Linked DNA regions of Oreochromis niloticus. The protein of the gene in region 2 purifies or fractionates together with the protein of the main gene of each other region. This does not show direct contact. Links are inferred from orthologs where the notes say so. Each region holds a gene or a part of one and is shown on either strand. Other genes may lie near its edges.

Region 1 (11,002 bases), on a different chromosome or scaffold from region 2:
GTGTTAATATTCAGTTTGTCTCTCAGTGGTGTACGGCCGGGAGTTAAACCTGGAGTCCCTCCCACACGTGGAGTCATCGCACCTCCGACTTGAGGTGTCATGCCATCTGACCCCTGACCTGGACCAGGAGTTCTGTTGTAGTTGAAATACACAAAATTATTGAAATGAGAAAACTGTATAGGAACAAGTATAGAAACAAGTCTAGGAAATCCTTTCTCTTTGGTGAAAATGGTTGTGACATGGAATAGTGCACCACACATTCAACAAATGCAGCTCAACAAACCTGACACAGCATTTGAGGCTTGGGTAGCAAATGGTAACACATGTCTCTTTAAGATTCTGTCTTTGTTCACACTGTTTACAAAATGTAAACGGACAATAGCATCTGGTTTTTTGTTAGAGCTTTGACAAAGACATTTTTGTGCTTATTACATCTTGAGTTGATGCAGAGAGTAAATTAAAAAAAGAATTCAGTACTCTATTTAACTGACAGAGTGTAGACCTTATGCTATGTAACGGATTAAAGGTTTCTTACCTGAATGGTGTACTGAGAACAGTATTGGGCGTTTGTATCTGTTGACGCTGAGGCGTCACTCCACTGAAGTCGCTCTCATGCAGTGGGGTGTTGAGGCCTCCCTTCAGAGGGGTGTCGATGTTAGTCAGAGCCATCAGGTTCTGAGCTTCCTGAAAATAAAGACACACACACAGATGGTACAAATTAATTTACAGATAAATACTAAAAAACAAAAAGAAAGGAATTTAGTATCATTTCCATTCAATTTTATTTTAAATTTAAAAGGGAGCCAATGAAGAGAAGTCAATTTAGGAGAAATATGCTCTCTCTTTCTAGTCCCTGTCAGTACTCTTGCTGCAGCATTTTGGATTAGCTGAAGGCTTTTCAGGGAGTTTTTAGGACATCCTGATAATAATGAATCACAGCAGTCCAGCCTGGAAGTAATAAATGCATTACCTAGTTATTCAGCATCACTCTGAGACAGGATGTTTCTAAATTTAGAGACATTAGCCAAATGGAAGAAAGCAGTCCTACATATTTGTTTAATATGTGCATTGAAGGACATGTCCTGGTCAAAAATGAATTCAAGGTTCCTCACAGTGTTGCTAGAGGCCAAGGTAATGCCATCCAGAGTAAGAATCTGGTTAGATGCCGTATTTCTAAGATTTTTAGGGCCGAGTACAATAACCTCTTTCATCTGAATTTAGAAGCAGGAAATTAGTATCAATTTGTAATATTACATTTTTACTGACAACGATACTCCTTAATGCATACATAAAGGCAAATGCATAAATGACCCTAACAGATTGGTGGCCAAGTGATCAACACATAATATGTACATACATTTTTAAGCACTATCCTGTCTCTACTAACTTACGTTTATTATTATTATTTGGATTCACAATTCAAACAGCAGACTATAAGGTATTTTTCTGATGGAACCTGTATGATGTTCAAATGTGCAGACAGGACTGTGATTTCACATTGGCCCTCTAATTTTGACTGACTTTACTCTTTATTCATGTGGGACAATTTAGCTTAGCATCTCTGTAATTACATGGATCAATTAATATGAGATATCACATATATGCTGAAATCACACATACGGGATTATGTGAGATTGAAAAAGACATATGTGACACATTGCTTTTGAGTGTCTTTATTACCTGCATGATTCTGTCCTGAGCAGCAGGGGTTCGTGGGGTTCGTAGCCCTGTTGCCATGGTATTGGTGACACTGTATTCTGAGAGGAGGGTGGAGGAGGCGGAGTTAGCGCTTTCACTCTCCTCGGCAGCTTGACGGGCGACCTCACTGGCGACACCCAATTTGACAACTTCCTCCAACTCGACGTCACTGATCTGTGAAGAAAGCCAATTAAAGAACTTAATGTACTACCTGTTATCAATATAACAAGTACATTATATTGATATATAAAATCCAGAAGTAATAAAATTTTAAAAAAAAAGTGGTTACCTGTGGTGCGGGTAACACCAGTTTGGAACGTTTTTTGGTAAACTCAGCCACTCCACTGGTCTGCAGGATAGCAGATGGCAAGTCACTCTCCTTCTTCTTCTTTATCTTCTGTTTATCTTTCTTCCTCTCCCTCTCTTCAGTCTCACTATAATAATAATAATTTAAAAAAAAAACACAACAGGGCTTACGAATGGATGAAAACCAAAAAAATGTGGAACACATTTTGATCCTTATTATTTATATTATATACCATCAGCGTGACATTCTCACGCCTTTGCTGGGAGAAGTCAAGACCCAAGGAAAGTATTCAAGTGACATAAACAAGGAGCCATGTTAGCATACAGAAAAGCACCAGTAGTTTAAAGTGATACTAACTTGCGTAATTCTCCATCCAAGTGCTGCTGTCTGAGCCTCTTGAAATTAGGCTCCTGAGCATCATACTGCTCCATGCTGGTGTCATAGAAACCCTTAAAGTAAACAAAAGACAACAATTACTACTGTAAGATTAAGTTAATCTCACTGCTGATGTTGTGGGTTATTTTTAAGGATACAACACATAAAGCTGTGGTTACCAGTGCAGGTTTCTTTTCAAAAGGGATTTCAGCATTATAGTCTACTCCTCTCTTCTTCTTTCTCTTCTTCTGAACATCGATTCCTGCTGCTCTCAGCTCTCTGCGTTTCTGCAGAGCAGCCAGCCGCCTACAGTATGACACCAGGAAAAAAAGAGTCACATATGATCATTTTATTATTACATGTCAACTGCTCTGTAAGAGGTAAAGTTATGATAAATACAGCTTGTCTGAGGGCAATTGTAAAAGCATTAAATTAGCTGAACCTGGCTTCCTCCAGCTGTTTCTCTCTGGCCTTCCTCTTGGCTTTCTTGCCCTGGGTGTTGGCCAAACGAGCCCTGGCCTCTGAAAGCATCTCCAACTCATCTACAGACCGATGAAGACAGACAGACACACAAAACACATTGGTTAGTTACCACATATGACTGTTATGATTAATCTTAAATAATTAAATATAAAAATGTACAAGATAACTAGGAAGCAAATCCATTCTTAACACAAGGACACATTCTCTTGTTGGCTCGATAAATCTGACAGCATCTGACAGTGTGTTTTTGTACCTTCGTCCATATCCACAGGGTCAGGTCTGGCAGGTTTTGTTTCAGGATTGGGATCAATTTCTCCTGGTTTCAACTTTCTGGGGTCATCTCCCACTTCCTCCTCATTGTCTCTTTGAGCTGCTTTGTCCCTGAATAAAACACAAAATGCATCTCAATTACAAATCAGCAATGATTAGCAACAATGAATGCTCCTGGACATACAAGGTGAAAAGCCACAGAATTACAAAACATAGTGAATAAATGTGTCTTTAGAGATAAACATACAGCAGGTATTCGTAGTGTTCCAGACACTGAGCAGCAGTCCTTCCTATGATAGGAGCAATGGTCCTCCACTGGGTGGGCATCAGCTTGGCCAAGTGAAGCAGCTTCTCCTCCTCTTCTCTGGACCATTCTGTTTTCTTGATACTGGGGTCCAACCACTCGTACCTACAGACAGAAACAAAGCCAGAGGAGAAGGTCTTTATTTCGCTCTTCTTAAAGAGAGATTTGAAAGCTAAAAAAAAAATCACAGACAGAAGAAACAAACATCAATGTATGTAGAAGTTTAATTAATCTCATGTTTTTGACACATCACACATCTCTGACTCAAAACTCACCATCGGGCTTTACACTGTTTTGCAGACTTTCGGTGCAGCAGGGAGGCGATACGGGACCACTGGTTTTTCCCATATTTCATTACAGCTGCCTTGAGGATCTCATCCTAAATAAATTTTTAAAGAAGGAACAGACGTCCATAAATTAAATGGATGTACTAAATGACAAATGATTTAATCAGACTAAACATGTCAAAACCCTTTATCCTCAATCCGCAGTGGGCTGATTCATTTTCATCCCAGTGCTGAAAAACAATTATATTATCCCCTATCTTTTGCTCACTTATAAAAATTTATGAAGTCTTGTGGTTTGTTATTTTGGCCATCTAGATTGCCAAATATTCGCTAACTGTAAACATGTATGTTTAAGTGCAAATTAAAAAGCTTCGTGCATACAACTCAACACAAGCACGAAATAAAGTCTTAAAACACAGCTGGCGATAATTTAAATAAACTTTAAATGCCACACGGGATAAATTCGTTAAGTGAGTAGCTAGCTTCATGCTAACTCGAGACCATAGGTTTGCTTTCGGAGTTTAGCATCATGCTAACCAAGCTAGCCATGTAAACACGTACCTCAGTGTTGCGCCAGACGCCTCCTTTAATCATAATTCGCGGCATCTTGGCGGCTTCGTTGTATCTCCTCCTTCAGTGAAATGCTATAAGTGATTCTTATCCAGCTGTGGTGTTTTGTAGCTTTAGATTAAAACAAAACAAAAATCCAACTACAAACCAAGCGCTGCGAGGGAAAAAGCGACATGCACCATACCGGAAACTCACAACGGGTGCACCACATGAATTGTGGGTAATGTGGTCGACGAGTAATGACGAAATTCGATGACAGTTTCCTTTACCACCTCCCCTTTCACAACTTGATAAAACAGACAAAGGCAAATATCTATGAAAAGCACTCACCATAGAATTAATACATGTTAAAAAATAAATAAATACATTTACTAACTTATAAAATTATTAAAAATTGTAATAAAAATGTATATATAAATCTGAACATTTAAACATAAATAACTCGTATAAGAAAATAAAAAATGAATTAATTTTTAAAAACACCTTTGGAAAAAAACGTCTTGATGCATTCTCAATCATCCAGGAAAGTAAATCTCCAAAAGTTGAATCTGTTCATCTGGACGTAGCGTTTTGTGGGAGAAACGTTTCGTCACTCATCCAAGTGACTTCTTCAGTCTCAGCTGACTGCAGGTTTCCCCAAACCTTATAAACAGGACATTTGCATAATGACTGAAACCAGCCCACTGAAGGAACAATGGGCTGTGCGGTCAGTTCCTTAATCATAATTATGCAAATTCCCATGCAAATGTACTGTTTATAAGGTTTGGGGAAACCTGCAGTCAGCTGAGACTGAAGAAGTCACTTGGATGAGTGACGAAACGTTTCTCCCACAAAACGCTACGTCCAGATGAACAGATTCAACTTTTGGAGATTTACTTTCCTGGATGATTGAGAATGCATCAAGACGTTTTAACCCACTTTGGCAAGGACTGCCTAAAGCTTGTACTTCAGTATGAGCAAACAGCACGTAAGATGGCGGACTACAGGAACCACCTGAGATTCAGCCTCAGATGCCGACAAAACAGGATTACTCCTAAAAGTCTGCAAATGAGCTCTTCAGTTAAAGGCTTCCGGGCAACAAAAATCCTCCAGAAGGCACAGCATCAGTTGCTTAATGAACGGGTGAGGCAGACAAATTTTACCATCGACATGCTAAAATCTCAAGAGGAGCGGATCCGACGGAGACTGACTATGCTTTTAGATGAGAATACTCTTCAAAAGGTCTTTGACTTCACTGAGAAGGCTCGTCTAGCACAGCACAAGAAGTCTAAGACCAGGCAACAAAGGAAGTTCGACTTACTTGTTGTACGTCGGAAACCACCGCAAAATACGGAGAGTGTCCTCAGTGGCCAGAAGAGACAAGGATGCAACATGGAGGATGTGGACAAGTGGGTGAAGAATTTGTCTGACAGACAGCTCACCCAAACAGAGAAAAACATCCTTGCTAAAGGGTTGAATTTTGCTGTCACACCGAGAAAAATCCCGCTAGTGGAGCTGATCACAGCCACAGAATCAGCAATTCGTAACAACAATATTTCAGAAGTGGAAGCAGAGCAACTACGGACGAAAGTTTCGGCCTATCTCAGCAATGCAAAGCCCCCAGCATCCAACATCTCCATGGAGGAGAGGAAGGCACTCACATCACTTAGTGATGACAGCAACATTATCATCCTTCCGGCAGACAAGGGTAGGTGCACAGTATTGCTTAACCAGAAAGACTATCATGAGAAGATTTTGTCACTACTCAGTGATGAAAATACTTATGAGCCCCTGAAACGAGACCCAGGAAGTGGTTACAGGAAGAGGGTGATAGACTGTCTGAAGCAGTTAGAACAAGACAAGGCTATTGACTGGACCTCATACCACAGGCTGTACCCAGGGGAGTCTACACCAAGTCTGTATGGTTTACCGAAAATACATAAGCAGGGTGCACCTTTAAGACCAATTGTCTGCATGATCAACTCGGTCACCTATAACATCTCCAAGTTTCTGGCTTCAATCCTCAACCCGCTGGTGGGCAGCTCTGAACACCACATCCAGAACACCCTGGATTTTGTTGAGAAGGTGAGAGATGTCATTATGGAGGCAGATGAAACCATGGTCTCGTACGACGTTACATCTCTCTTCACTTGCATCTCAGTCACGGAAGCGTTGGAGGTAGTCCGTAAGAGATTACAGGATGACACCAACCTCAGCAACAGGACCACTCTCAGCATCGACCAAGTGTGTTTGCTTTTGGAACTGTGTCTTCATTCCACCTACTTCACATACAAGGGTCAGTTCTACAGGCAGAATCATGGGTGTGCCATGGGCTCCCCAGTTTCACCCATCGTGGCCAATTTGTACATGGAAGAAGTGGAAAAGAGGGCTTTGCTATCCTACCCTGGAACACCACCAAGCCATTGGTTCAGATATGTGGATGACACCTGGGTGAAAATCAAATCTCAGGACGTACTACACTTCATGGATCACATTAACTCGGTGGACCGACACATCAAATTCACCAGGGAGGATATGAAAAGTGGCAGGTTAGCCTTCTTAGACTGTGAGATTTCCATCAGTAATGGGGGACATCTAAAAGCTGACGTGTACCGTAAACCTACACATACGGATCAGTATCTAAGGTTTGACTCTCATCATCCACTGGAGCACAAACTGGGTGTCATCAGGACACTACAACACAGAGCGAACACCATCCCCACAGACACAGCGGCCAGGGAGGCAGAAGAACAGCACATCAAGAAGGCCCTGAGTAAATGTGGCTATCCCAGCTGGACTTTTGTCAAAGCTGGAAAGACACCCAAAGAAAGCTCCAGCCGATCCAGGAGAGAAGGACAACCGCTGCCCAGGCGAAAACCTGTGGTGATCCCATATGTGTCAGGAGTATCGGAGCAGTTGAGACGCATTTTTTCGAAACACCGGGTCTCTGTGGCTTTTAAACCCCAAAATACGCTGCGCCAAAAACTGGTCCACCCCAAGGATCGGGTCCCCCGACACAAACAGAGTAACATAGTGTACGCTGTTAAGTGCCAGGAGGATTGCCAGGATTTATACATCGGGGAAACCAAACAACCTCTGGCGAAGCGGATGGCACAACACAGAAGGGCTACCTCGTCAGGCCAGGACTCTGCAGTCTATTTACACCTACAGGCCAGAGGACACTCTTTCAAGGATGAGGATGTACACATCCTGGACAGGGAAGAACGCTGGTTTGAGTGCGGAGTCAAGGAGGCCCTTTACGTGAAAAGGGAAAGACCATCTCTGAATCGAGGAGGGGGCCTAAGGGTACATCTTTCGCCATCTTACACTGCTGTGATTGCAGCCATTCCCCAACTCTCTGTGAATGGGACTCATGGCCATTGATCAGTGTTCTTTGATCAGTGGGTTTTGGTCAGTGATTGTTGATCAATGGTCATGGGAATTTGCATAATTATGATTAAGGAACTGACCTCACAGCCCATTGTTCCTTCAGTGGGGTGGTTTCAGTCATTATGCAAATGTCCTGTTTATAAGGTTTGGGGAAACCTGCAGTCAGCTGAGACTGAAGAAGTCACTTGGATGAGTGACGAAACATTTCTCCCACAAAACGCTACGTCCAGATGAACAGATTCAACTTTTGGAGACCTTTGGAAAACATATTCTCTGTGTATACACATTTTCATTTAATGAGAGCATATCTATTATTCCATATTGGTGTTACATGTAGCATGAAAATATGTTTCTCAACCAGTTTCGAATAGATAGGAACCGTTGATATGTAAGTTCCTGGATTCAAAGCATAATAAAAAGTCTATCCCTCCTAAATTTTGAAATGAAAAAGCAAATAAGGTATGTTAAACCAAAAATAACGGTCTACTATTAAGAAAAGGTTTTAACCATTTTAACTTTAAAACAACCAACACCAGGTGGCATCTGTCATTCTGACAAGACTTGCATATGTCGAGACATTATGTCATTAAAGGTTATCAGGCAATCAAAAGAAATGTGCAGGATGGTCAGCAGAGTACAGCTGAGACACAAGGTCTGATGCAGTGTCCTGCTGACCATTTGAGTGGATGAGGAAATACACAGCTGCTTGCTGTCTGGAACTCAAAGTCCCACAGGACCTTACCTCTGTTGTTGTCAGTCACCTTTGTGGTGTCTCCCATAGGGACTTGGGGACTTTTAGTCCGTATGTGGCACAGATGTTCCTCACCACTTGGTTGTGCCTCTCAGTGTATGCGGTCTCAGTTTGCATCTTACAGTCTGGCAAGATGTGTTTGATAGTCTGCAGGGCACCTTTGCACAGTCTGCAACTTGGGTCCTGTCATGTGTGGTAGACTCCTGCCTCTTTGGATGCAGTACTTATGGCCTCTTCTTCTGCTGCCATGATCAGAATTTCTGTGCTGTCCTTTAAGCAGGCCTTTTCAAGCCACTGGTAGGATGTCTTGGCTTCAGCCATTTCCTCTATCAGTCAACAGCACATCACATGTAAAAGCTTGGTCTTCTATTGCGGTTCCTTTTCCTGTTCTGCATATATATATGAAACAAATATTCTCTGAACACAAAAGCTAAATATGACCCTCCTTACCATTCCTTGTTGAACTGTGCTGAGTGTTGCAGAATTCATCTTGGTGTATCCACCTACCTTTGGGAGAAACCTGATTGACTCAATCTCACCTATGACTAAAATCCATTTCAGATCCTAGCTTCCAAAATCTGTAACTGCACCAATACCTACCACGGAGACACAAGTTCTATTTAGGAATGTGCCTATGTTATGTTATTAAAGTGAATGTAGTGTATTTATTTTCCTTTATTTATATTTATTTTCATGAGATATTCTTCTTTCTCAGTGTTCTCGTCTTCTGGCCTGTGGTCTGTTTCCATATTCTAAATAAACACCCAGATACTTGGAGCGCTGATGTTTTTATTCAACTCGGTCTCTGAAGTACATATTTACTGATTTCACACAAATGATACGAGGCTACATGTATGTTCTTCACACATTAGCACAACACGGAGAACACTTACAACAACATGACAGTAGACATGCACAAAACAAGGCAGTGACAGGAGTCAGCACTGGTGGCTTACTGTGCCGAACCACCACTGGCCTGAACACAAAGAGCCAACCAATCACAATGGGTGATTTCACTGATTTGACAGGGTGTGGGGATGCGGAGAGGACAGTGAGACAGAGGAGGAGGAGGAGAAGAAGTAAAGGAGAAAGGAGAAGGAGAGAGAGCTGAGGGGCTAATACCTAAAATAGTAAGACAAATCATAACACTGAGCACCATAATAAACAATACATATGTTCAGTATTGACAATAAATATCAGAAATCTCATAAATAATATTTCTCAATATTGTTTTTTTTAATAACATATTTCCTTAAATCTCATTTAAGCTGCAAACTTTCCCATCAGACAGTTTCATTAACCTTTCTGGTGTGGACACACACTCTTTCTCTTTCACACACACACACACACACACACACACACACACACTCTTTCTCTTTCACACACACACACACACACACACACACACACACACTCTTTCTCTTTCACACACACACACACACACACACACACACACGTTTTCTTTCCACTCTTACTTTTAAGTACAATTCTGTCCAGTGTTACGAGAGCAATACTGCAGGACCAGGAGACACAGGGTGATCTTAAGGTGATTTAAAGGTGATGCTTAGCTCATTGGGGGGCAGGTCACATGCAGACTGATATGTACAACTGTAAACTCCTTCACCTCCCACCCTCTTTCATCTTTCTGCCTTTACTTTATTCTACTTTTACACATCCATTAAGATACATGCCTGTCTCTTGTCCCATCATTTAATCCCCTCCACTCTCATCTTCCTTCTCTCTTCAATGGCCCCTTCCCCTATTCCCCCCCTTTGCTCTCTCCCCTCTTCTAATTGTGTCTATTTCAGGTCCCCAGCGTCCCCCTGGATGGTTTTCTTGATGCGTAGCAACATCGTGGTCAGCCACTGGTCCAGGCGAGACACAGAATCAAACTCCTTCACGGCCTCCGTGAACGCCTCGCTATTCTGCTCCTCGTGGGCTTCTAGCAGTTTCTGTTGCACAGAGGAGTGGCGAATAGGCGAATGTTCATGGGAAAAAACACACAAATGGCACAATTAAGCTCTGATTAGTAGCAGCAGTGTTTTTAATGATCATATTCTGTGGGCTTTGCTTCCCATCATAATGTTATTATGACTATTTACATTAAATACTATTGAAAGAAATCTACATGTTTGATTTCAGTGTCTAAACTTAACTAAAGGTGCAATATCTGAAGACATATCAACTGAAGTTGGAGTAAGGCTGGGCTGTACCTTTGTGTAATGCCAGTTTGAACCACAAGATGGTGCACTAAGCCAATGCAATTGTTATTTAATCACGTAAGTCAAAGATGGAGAGCTACAAAAATATACAAACTTAAATATCAATAAACATTTGAAAACATTTCAATGCATCCACTAGTAAACAGCTCCCCCTGGTGGTGAAAAGTTTAGTCCAAACCTTTGCAGAGGTTAAAAACAAAAATTACATTTACATTTTCCAGGAATTTCCTTCATAAATCATTGTCTGCTTGTTGTAAAGACAGTTTTACTTTATTTTTCATAAAATTATTGTTTCAGTGTAACAGATTTTATAAACCATTAAAACCTTGCATAAATGCATAAATACAATATTTATGCAAACTTAGA
Region 2 (11,097 bases):
CCGCGCTAGCTAGCTAAGCTAGCGGCGCTAGCTAGCTAGCCAGCCGGCTATCAGCAACACGTAAGAGAACTGTTGCTAAATAAACTACACCTAAACTCGGTTTATATCTGACCCAAATAGAGTGCAGGTCATAACTTCTTACCTGAAATTCAGTTCACCTCACGCTCCTGCCTTCGCTTTCCCTGATCCATGATTGACCTCCGCGTTAGCAAACACCAGACGATCGGCGGTAGCCTCACCGCCTTGTATGTCTCGTTCGCGGCATGTCCTTTCTGTCACACACCGGTGGATAGCTGCCCTCTGTTGTAGCTCCACCACCAAACAACTCAGTTATTTTTTCCACATCGACCAGCATCATCGGCCCATATAAACGAAAAATAAGTCCAGCTAAGACACAGACCCTTGCCGAGCGATCGGGCGATTAAACAAATTTTAGCCACCTCACTATCAGCCAAGCCTGGGTGGTTTTTCACGAAGGGGCTAGCTAGCCGGCTATCAGCAACACTTAAAAGAATTGTCGCTAATATGGGATGTCTTGATAAAACGAGCAGATATTTGAAGTTTACACACCTACATTCTCGCCTGAAAATATCTTAAAAGTGCATTTTGTGACCTAGAAACACGAATAAAAGACATATAAAACGAAGTGGTGTCCGCCATTGTTTGACTCGGTAGAGGCATGCTATGAATTGTGGGATATGTAGTTTTCACCAAGCATGGCACCCTTTAGGCCGTACTACTCCCGGTATACCACTAGAGAGAGCCAACACACCACAAATGAAGTCTGTTTCTATGGTGCCAAAAGCAGAATCTTTCTCAGGAGCCTAGAAATTGGCCTAAATTTGCACTAAAATCTAAATATTTCAAAAAGTATAAAAGTTATGAACACCAAAAGTCACACCATACTAGCCCAGCTCCAGCCGCACAAAATGATGTAACATATGTACCCCTATTGTCAAAACTGTTTGGCAGAGGAGCGCGGGAAAATTTTCACTAAAATATTAATATTTTAAAAACTATAATAGTCATAAACACCAAAAGTCATAGCACACCATTCCAGATCCAGCCGCACAAAATGAGGTAACATATATGAAGCTTTTCTCAAAACTGCGGGGCGTGATACGTGCCGAAATTTAGGCGGAAGATGGAGAATAATAATAATAATAAGAATAATAAATCCGAGGAATAGTAATATGTGTGCCTCTTGGCATAGGCACACATAATTAAGAAAGATAGAACCAAGAAAAAAAAAACAAGAAAAGACAAAGACAGACTATGCTAAAAAATGTGATGCCACAGCACTAGTCAAATTGGTCAAGAGTAATAAGAATGGCGAACTGTGTTTAAATTATGTCACAAAATGTCAATGATGAAATATACAGTGTTTATTTCCTGGTTAGTCTGTAGTGGCTCCTGAAAAGCAAGTCTACCACACCGTCACCAATTTGACTGAGAGCTCAAAGCTCAGTGACAAGAACGCCTGACTCCGGGTCAGAGGTAGTAAAAGTACAGACATTCTCCACTTATCTGTTCTTCCACTTAAGCTGAAGAACAGATATTTTTGTTAAAAAATGCTCCAGTAAAAGTACTGATTTAACATCTTTACTCAAAAGTGAAATAGTATAGTCCTTGAAGTGTAGCTTCTCAAAGTACGTAATCATTCTCCATCTCTGACAGAAGTTAGCTCTCATTCTTTTCTCTCCCTGGAAATACAGCAGCTGGACCTTTATCCAGCAACACACTGTGCAACAAATTACACAGGAACTAGAGGTGGGCAGATTGATCCAAATATCGACAGTATCGATACCAACACTGGTATCAGTATCAGACTGATACTAATGCAATTGGATTGAATCTTTTTTCTATCCTCAGTTTTCAGTATGAATCCCACTGAACTGTGTTAAATACATTTTTAGTGTATTTTTAAAAATATTTTTTAATGAAAAAATATAGCTCAAAATAGTATATAGCACAAATGGTAAAATGGTAAATGGCCTGTATTTGTATAGCGCTTTACAAGTCCCTAAGGACCCCAAAGCGCTTTACACACCCAGTCATCCACCCATTCACACACACATTCACACACTGGTGATGGCAAGCTACATTGTAGCCACAGCCACCCTGGGGCGCACTGACAGAGGCGAGGCTGCTGAACACTGGCACCACCGGGCCCTCTGACCAGGGCCCGGGCCCTCTGAGTTACACAAGCTCCCTTTATAGGTTAAAACTATCAGTATCACTAAATTAAGGAAAGTATTGGTATTGGCAATACTTTCCTTAATTTATTTTGTACTGGATCGATACCAAAATTTGTAGTATCGCACAGCACTAACAGGAACAGTTTGTGTGTTTGCTCATGTTTTTTGAGCTGACAGAAATGTTTTAGAAACGTTATGTCACTGCTCCAGAAATGACCAAATGACGTGTTTTCACTATTTGTTAAATTCTCTTGCAAATACCAGCTGTACATTTTGGGCGTCTACTAAAATAAAAATAAAAGAATCCTAACATCAGACCCGTTTTTTTAAAAATTCATTAAGTAGCATGAGCTGTGTACACATGTGTAATGTATTTATTGTGTTTTAGTGTTTTACTATGAGTGTTTAACTGTATTTAGCTAATTAGACAGATCATATAAATCTCTGGATGTTTACAATGGCCATGAATACTAAAGGCAGGAAGTCTTTTCTGCAACCTTTCCCAATTGTTTCACATTGATGATCTTTTTCTAGCCAATCATTTGTGCTGAAAAATACAAATGTTAATTGAAGAAAATGCACATATTAATCACAGTAAAATTACGAGGGGCAGTAAAAACACTGAACACAGAACGCAAGTACGGACTTGCGTAATCAAGTATTGGACGAGAGACAGCGGTAAGAGGAAAGGAGGGGGACTGGCAGTGTTTGTGAATGACAGATGGTGTAACCCTGGGCACATCACTGTAAAAGAACAACTCTGCAGCAGAGACATTGAGCTGTTAGCCATTAGCATGCGTCCGTACTACCTGCCCCGGGAATTCTCGCATGTTATCGCGATAACAGCGTATGTCCCCCCCTCGGCCAACACGGATGCAGCCTGTGACACTCTCCACTCAGTGGTCAGCAGACTGCAAACACAATCTCCGAGAGCCCTTCTCATAATATCAGGGGACTTCAATCATGCCTCACTGGACTCCACACTGCCCACCTTCACCCAGTATGTGACCTGCCCAACCAGAGACAATAAAACACTGGACTTACTGTATGCCAATGCAGAACAGGCATACAGTTCATCACCTCTCCCTCCCCTGGTCAGATCTGATCATAACCTGGTGCACCTTGTCCCTGTGTATGAGCCCTTAGTGCGCAGGGAGCCACCAGCCACCCGCACAGTGCAGAGATGGTCGGAGGAGAGCGAGGAGGCTCTTAAGGATTGTTTTGAGTCCACTGTGTGGGAGGTGATCTGTGACGACCACGGAGAGGACATCGACAGCCTTACTACATGCATTACTGACTATATTAATTTCTGTGTGGACAACACCGTACCTACCAGGACTGTACGGTGTTTCTCCAACAACAAACCTTGGATTACTCCAGAAATTAAAGCTGTCCTCAAGCAGAAGAGGAGGGCCTTCAAATCCAAAGACAAAGAGGAGTTTAAAAGGGTGCAGAGAGAGTTGAGGGGACTGATAAGGAATGGGAAGGATAGCTACAGGCAAAAGATGGAGAACCAGCTTCAGCAAAACAACGTTGGTGAAGTCTGGAGAGGCCTCAGAACCATCTCAGGCCACAAACATCACAACTCTCTGCCTGGGAGGGATGTGAGGTGGGCAAATGAACTGAATCATTTCATTCATTCATTTCTTCAACAGATTTGATTCAGCCATGAGGCAGTCTCCAACATCGGCTGCAGACTCACCCACCCCCACTGCTGCTGTTCCACCTCAGACACTTCACACCTCCTCTATTCACCCTGCTCACTCCTCCCAACCCCCAACAACAGCATCCAATACACACTCAACACAAGGCTCCAGCCTGTCTCTCTCAACCACCCAGGTTAGGAGGGAACTGAGGAGGATTAAAGCCAAGAAGGCAGCGGGTCCAGATGGCATCAGCTCGAGGGTCGTCAGGTCCTGCGCTGACCAACTGTGTGGGGTGATGGAGCACCTCTTCAACCTGAGCCTGAGGCTGGGAAGAGTCCCACAGCTCTGGAAAACCTCCTGTGTTGTTCCAGTGCCAAAGACTTCACGCCCCAAGGACCTCAACAGCTACAGGCCGGTGGCTCTGACATCCCACCTGATGAAGACCCTGGAGCGGTTGGTCCTGGCTCAGCTTCAGCGCCTTGTGAGCTCATCACTGGACCCACTTCAGTTTGCCTACCAACCTGGCATTGGAGCGGATGATGCCATCATTCACCTCCTACATCGTTCCCTCGCTCACCTGGAGACCACTGGGAGCACTGTGAGAATCATGTTCTTTGATTTCTCCAGTGCCTTCAACACTATTCTTCCCTCGGTTCTGAAGGACAAGCTGGAGAACTCTGGAGTGGACCATCACCTCACTACCTGGATTTTGGACTACCTCACCGACCGACCACAGTATGTGAGGACTCAGGGCTGTGTGTCGGACAGGGTCGTCTGCAGTACGGGGGCCCCACAGGGAACGGTTCTGGCTCCGTTCCTCTTCACCATCTACACTGCAGACTTCTCCCACAACTCCACCCAGTGCCTACTGCAGAAGTTCTCTGATGACTCTGCAATAGTCGGCCTCATCACTGATGGGGACGACAAGGAGTACAGAGGACTGACTCAGGACTTTGTGGACTGGTGCCAGCTGAACTACCTCCAGATCAATGCCAGTAAAACCAAGGAGCTGGTGGTAGACTTCCGCAGGCACAAACATCCTCCACTGCAACCACTGAACATCCAAGGTATGGACATTGAGGCTGTGGACAGCTACAGGTACCTTGGTGTTCATCTGAACAGCAAACTGGACTGGACTCATAACTCAGACGCCCTCTACAGGAAAGGGCAGAGCAGACTGTATCTGCTGCGGAGACTCAGGTCGTTTGGAGTAGAGGGCCCACTCCTGAAGACCTTCTATGACTCTGTGGTGGCCTCAGCCATCTTTTATGGTGCGGTCTGCTGGGGTGGCAGCATCTCTGCTGGGGACAGGAAGAGACTGAACAGGCTGATCCGAAGAGCCAGCTCTGTTCTAGGATGCCCTCTGGACCCAGTGGAGGTGGTGAGTGACAGGAGAATGGCGGCTAAGCTGTCATCCCTGTTGGACAACATCTCCCACCCCATGCAGGAGACTGTGACAGCACTGAGCAGCTCCTTCAGTGGGAGACTGCGGCACCCACGGTGTGGGACGGAGAGATTTCGCAGGTCTTTCCTCCCCACTGCTGTCAGACTCCACAACAAAGACTTTAACTGATCAAACACACACATCCACACATGTGCAATAACACTAATGTGCAATAATCTTTTCTGGCATCGTTGTATTTTTACTCAGTTGTATATAGCATTTGTATTCTATTTTTATCTTATTGTATATTTTATTCTATTTTATTCTACTGTATATAGTATTTTATTTTATTCTATTCTGTACAGTTGTGTACTGTATTTATTCTTATTTTATTTTATTCTAATTTTTGCTTCATAACTTTTGCACTGTCCACTTCCTGCTGTGACAAAACAAATTTCCCACGTGTGGGACTAATAAAGGTTATCTTATCTTATCTTATCTTATCTTATTGTCAAACGGCAAGTGTCGACACACTTGTGCCACACACTCCACGAGGCGTCATCTACCCGTCACTGTTAGTAAAGTGCTTAAAACAAACGAACAAACAGATCCTATTATGCCCGACAGGCAAAATCTACCGGGTCACGTCCCTCAGTTAGGACCATTCCTAAGCAAAGTGGAAGGATCAAAAAACGAAATGTGCATGCAACACCACCCTCCCTCCGCGGGAGGCGCTATAAAAAATAAAGCAAACGTTGTCGCCACGTGATAGGAAAGATGTAAACCTTTTGTTCCGGGCTGCTTGGTGTAGCGGTGTACACTCGCTTTGCTGTGAATTTAGGAGACGTGATAAGGTTCCTTTTTGTTCGTTGAGATGGTGAAGTTGTCCGCGGAACTTATTGAGCAGGCTGCTCAATATACAAATCCCGTGAGAGACAGAGAGTTGGATTTAAGAGGTGAGTTAAATTGTCCTTAATACAGCATACATAGAAAGGCCTGTGCTCATTAGCTTACGCACATTTTACGCGGGCCTTAACGTGAGCCTCATTCAAAAACTTAACTGGATAGTGTTCAGTTTCATACGAACTGCTGCAGAAATAATGCTGGCTTATGTCTAGACACAACAAGGCGGATTTCATCATAATGTACTGTATATTAAAAGGGTAAATTGAGTCATTCCATCTGAAATCTTAGAGAAAATAAAAACCCATAACATTTTCTGCTCAGCCAACTCAGATTTGCCTGAAAATTGTATGTTTTAAAACGTTTGTAATAATTGCGATTAAATTTTGTCTTCATATATGAAGACTATGAAGACTTAATATAAATTTGGTTTCAGGGTATTTTAGGTGAATTGAAATCTGAGAATATGTTTGAACATAAATATCTCTGAAGATAAAATTTGTGCGTTTTCTCACCAAAAAATGTAATTGTGGTCAGCTAGTATGGGCTACAAATCCCATCATAACAAACAAAAACATACATTATTAAAAACATTCTTGATTATATTTGAATAATCTGTTAATTCAGGTTACATCATCACCAAGCTGCATTCTGATAGCACTTAAGGGCAAGCAAATGTTTGCATTCATAGAAAGAGAAAACCCACGGTAAAATAATTGGATATACAAAATGATTGTAGATGATTGTTGTCAGAGCTGACATAGTTATCTGCACACATTATGTGTGTGTTAGTGAGGAGCCGTGATAAGGTTCCTGTCAATCTGCCCCAGGGCAGCTGTGGCTACAACTGTAGCTTGCCTTCACCGGTGTATGAATGTGAGAGTGAATGAATAGTGGTATTGTAAAGCGCTTTGAGGGATCCCGAAAAGCGCTATATAAATGCAATCCATTATTATTATTATTATTATTATTATTTTAACTGGATGACTTTTAATCTGCTATTAATCGCATTATATGCATAATTCCATAATGAGTTAAAAAGTTGTGTATTGTATTTTAGTACTATTGCTATATGAGCAGTCAGATACTTTCAGGATATTTTTCTTGTTTTATTTATTTTTTTACATATGCTTTTTAACAGCAGTATTCCTGCTGCGCAGTAGCAGTTAAAGTAGCTCTTTAATTTCACCTTAACCATGAACCTGATCTAATAAAATCAAATAGTTATTTGTCAATTACAGGGCATTGACATTTTGTCTAGTTTGTTTTAGAAAAACAAGTTACCCTCAGTTCAATGTCACAATTATAACATTACAAACAAAACATGTTACTTCAAGAGATGTTCCTGTATTATTAAAATGTGACAAATTAACACCCAAAAAACGAATAAATTGCGACTGAGAAGTGTGGTGCCTTGTGTTGTGCATTGTGAGTAATGGCCATTATTCTACAATTCATGGAAACCATTTTAATAAAAGTTAAAATCTAAAATAAAATAATTCATCCAGCTATTTTCTTCTGCGTATCTGAAATCAGGTCGCGGGGCCTAAGCAGTTAAACCCAGACCTCTCTCTTGCAAATCGCTCCCTCTAGCTTATCCAGGGAAAACACTGAGGCATTTCCAGGCCAGCCAAGAAAGCCACCATGTCCTGGATCTACCCTGGGGCCTCCTCCCAGTAGGACATGCCCAGCCAGAACACCTTACCCAGGAGGCAACAGGCTCAATGGCTCCTTTTGATGTGCAGAAGTAGCAGCTCTACTTCGAGCCCCTCCCAAATGACTGAACTCATACTATGCTGAGAGAGAGCTAATGCACCCTTTGGAGAAGGTTATTGGCCAGTTATAGGCCAATACTGTGCCTTAGCATGGAAACTCCTGTCATGCATCATAGCAGGCAAGATGAGCAGGCTCAAAACACGAGTAGGGCCCTGAAGGGAACTGACAGAAACACCACGGGGGGAAAAGATCGGCTACTGGTAGAGCATCGAGCTGTGAATTGTGATGAATTGATATCACTCTCACTCCTGTGCCAGGAGTGAGAGTGATATCAATTCACTGATCTACAACAATGATATCAGAATGTCATTTGGAACAGAGATGTGTAGTCAGATAGTAGCAAAGAAAGGGAAGATGCTATCTGTATTTTAATTATTTTATTTTTTTGTTTTCGCCCAGGTTATAAAATCCCAGTGCTTGAAAATCTTGGAGCTACTCTGGATCAGTTTGACACTATAGATTTCTCTGATAATGAAGTCAGAAAATTGGATGGCTTCCCTTTGCTTAAAAGACTGAAAACCTTGCTAATGAACAACAACAGGATTTGGTAAGTTAGAGGTGTGTGTGTCTGTGTACGTGTGTTATTGAAAAAAATAACACTGCAACCACTGTTGTCTTCACCCGATACCCTGGTTGTATTATAAGGTGCTCAAAGGAGGAGATATTGACATAAAGACAAAACTCCATACCATGCATGAAGGATTACATCTCAAATCCAGCACTCTGCAAACATATGCTTGCCGAAAGATGGCTGAAGACTGAGTGTCAGAACCACTATCCAGGGCGAAACAACAAAGCTCCTTGTGTAATCCAAGGGCATAAATGGAACACCATAACCAGATACCTGGGATAGCACTCGGCCATGGTGTCTGTTGCGTCTATTGGAGTGTGAATCTTTGCGCTTGGATAGAAAACAGTGGTTGTATGAAAAGCTATGGACAATGGGTCTAAGGATTTGGACTCATTGCCTCATCAGCTGAAGTAGGGGTGGGCGGTATAAAACGGTATATGGTAGAAACGATATAAATTTGGCCAACGGTAGAGATTTTGACTACCGCTCTACCGCAATCCGGTTGTTCAGTCTGACGTCACTGGCCGTGTCTGGGCCTAAACTCCGCTGCAGGTCCATATATCAAACGATCACTGTGGCATTACTGAGAGTTGAAAAACTGTCTAAAGTCTTTCATCTTTAATAAAATGATCAGTGTTCTGCTCTACCAGGTGTAACAATTGAGTTTAACATCCAGGCATCCATGAAAATGGAATTTATGACATTTAACGGCGTTAGAAGTTAGCTCGCTAGCTTCTATCTAAATACAATATAGCATGTCCTGACTGCGGGGTTTTGGAAAAAAAATTCAAACGTACAGCTCTGCTATAACTTCCAACATAAATGAAGACAGAAAACTAAACAGCAGTGACGTTTGTAGGGTTACTGAAGTTTGGCTAGCTGGTATATAATGATGTGCTACGTGACCGCTAGCGACACAGCTATGTTAGCATAACATAAACAAGCTAACTTTTTTTCCACTCGATAAAAGTTAACGTGAGTGTTCTCGGTGGTCAGGAACAAATGTAATCGCATGGCAGGATGCTGTAAAAGGACTAAACTTCAGCCAGGAGAACAAGTGAGATAATCCATCCACAATACGAGGTTAGTCATTCATATACTGCTGCATGGGCTGTGCTGTAGTTACATCGTAAGGTTTTAAAAACTGAGCTTAAATAAATGATTAGCGGTAATAAAAGCCGAGGGAGGTCAACAGTGATCACTGACTGTTTTAGGAGCTTTTTGAGATTAAATAGAAGAAAATACAAAACATTAAACATGTTAACAACACAAAAGCCATATTAAACGCAGACTACTTTAGGCCCGGAAGTAGGATTCGTCACGTCATCACTGAACAACCGGATAGCGCATGTTGATGGTGTCATCAAGCTGCGCCTGTTTTGGTCGAAAAAATTGCAGCGGCTGCAAACAGTCAGCCAAACAATCCGCTGCAAATTATGCTGGGTGACAGTAATAGCAAAGAGACGAAGCACTTTTGGAATATGGGGAAAGCTGAAAACTGCGCTTCATCCACTTCCGTACCATTGACTCATTAATGCTGAATTCTCTCACAGCTGCTCTATTCCCATGTTGTTGCAGTATATTAATGACTAACCTCGTATTATGGATGGATTATCGCAGTTGTTCTCCTGACTGAAGTTTGGTCCATTTACAGCATCCAGCCATGCAATTGCATTTGTCCCTAACCACCAGAAACCCTCACGTTAACTTTTATCGAGTGGAAAAACGTTGGCGTTCATCCTTCAGCTTCACTGTACTAATGTTATGCTAACATAGCTGTTTTGCTAGCCCAATCAACTTCAGAAACCCTACAAAAGTCACTGCTGTTTAGTTTTCTGTCTTCATTTATGTTGGAAGGGATAGCAGAGCTGTACGGATTTATTAAATTCAACTCAGTTGAATTTAATAAATCCTGTTTTCATGGATGCCTGGATGTTAAACTTAATTGTTACACCTGATAAAGCAGCAACGCTAATCATTTTATTAAAGATGAAAGAATTTACAGTTTTTAACTCTCAGTGATGCCACAGTGTTCGTTTGACTTTGGGACCTGAAGCAGATGGAGTTTTGGACCCAGATTACTCCGCAAGGCTCCTGACTATGGCAGCCGTAATGCTATGGCAATCCATCAAGCAGTGCGGCTTCGTAGCTTACCAAAGTCGTACTAAAACATTTTTTTGACAGATTTCTGCGCGCTGTGTACTACATAAATGGTAAATGGCCTGTATTTATATAGCGCTTTTCTAGTCCCTAAGGACCCCAAAGCGCTTTACATATCCAGTCATTCACCCATTCACACACACACATTCACACACTGGTGATGGCAAGCTACGTTGTACATAAAATCAGTTCAAGGTCAGTAAGCACCACCAGAATTCATACATAAGGCGCACTGTCGATTTTTGAAAAAATTAAAGGATTTTAAGTGTGCCTTATAGTGTGTAAAATACGCTATACAGAAGTATGAGGGGCCGTACAAGCCAAAATTCATTCTTTCACTCTCACACACATACATTCTTCTCTCACACACATATATTTTCACTCTCACATACATATATTTTCATTCTTTCACTCTCACACACATACATTCTTCTTTCACACACATATATTTTCACTCTC

What was found.
Region 1: the proteins of snrpa1 (region 2) and cdc5l purify together in Homo sapiens (affinity purification with mass spectrometry; 5 studies listed by BioGRID and IntAct, counting the BioPlex papers as one, with this or other methods). This does not show direct contact. The link is inferred for Oreochromis niloticus from reciprocal best matches to the Homo sapiens genes SNRPA1 and CDC5L.

Annotation. Positions count from the first base shown.
Region 1 is NC_031978.2:5,909,366-5,920,367, forward strand, and holds the start of cdc5l (cell division cycle 5-like protein), read right to left. Parts: upstream 4,513-11,002; 5' UTR 4,331-4,512; coding exon 4,286-4,330; intron 3,817-4,285; coding exon 3,713-3,816; intron 3,543-3,712; coding exon 3,381-3,542; intron 3,245-3,380; coding exon 3,117-3,244; intron 2,923-3,116; coding exon 2,823-2,922; intron 2,687-2,822; coding exon 2,560-2,686; intron 2,455-2,559; coding exon 2,363-2,454; intron 2,133-2,362; coding exon 1,988-2,132; intron 1,873-1,987; coding exon 1,681-1,872; intron 685-1,680; coding exon 536-684; intron 133-535; coding exon 1-132. Other genes in the region: napba (N-ethylmaleimide-sensitive factor attachment protein, beta a), read right to left, coding at 10,214-10,366.
Region 2 is NW_020327524.1:104,803-115,899, forward strand, and holds the start of snrpa1 (U2 small nuclear ribonucleoprotein A'), read left to right. Parts: upstream 1-5,990; 5' UTR 5,991-6,102; coding exon 6,103-6,184; intron 6,185-8,306; coding exon 8,307-8,454; intron 8,455-11,097. UniProt on the Homo sapiens protein: Involved in pre-mRNA splicing as component of the spliceosome. Associated with sn-RNP U2, where it contributes to the binding of stem loop IV of U2 snRNA.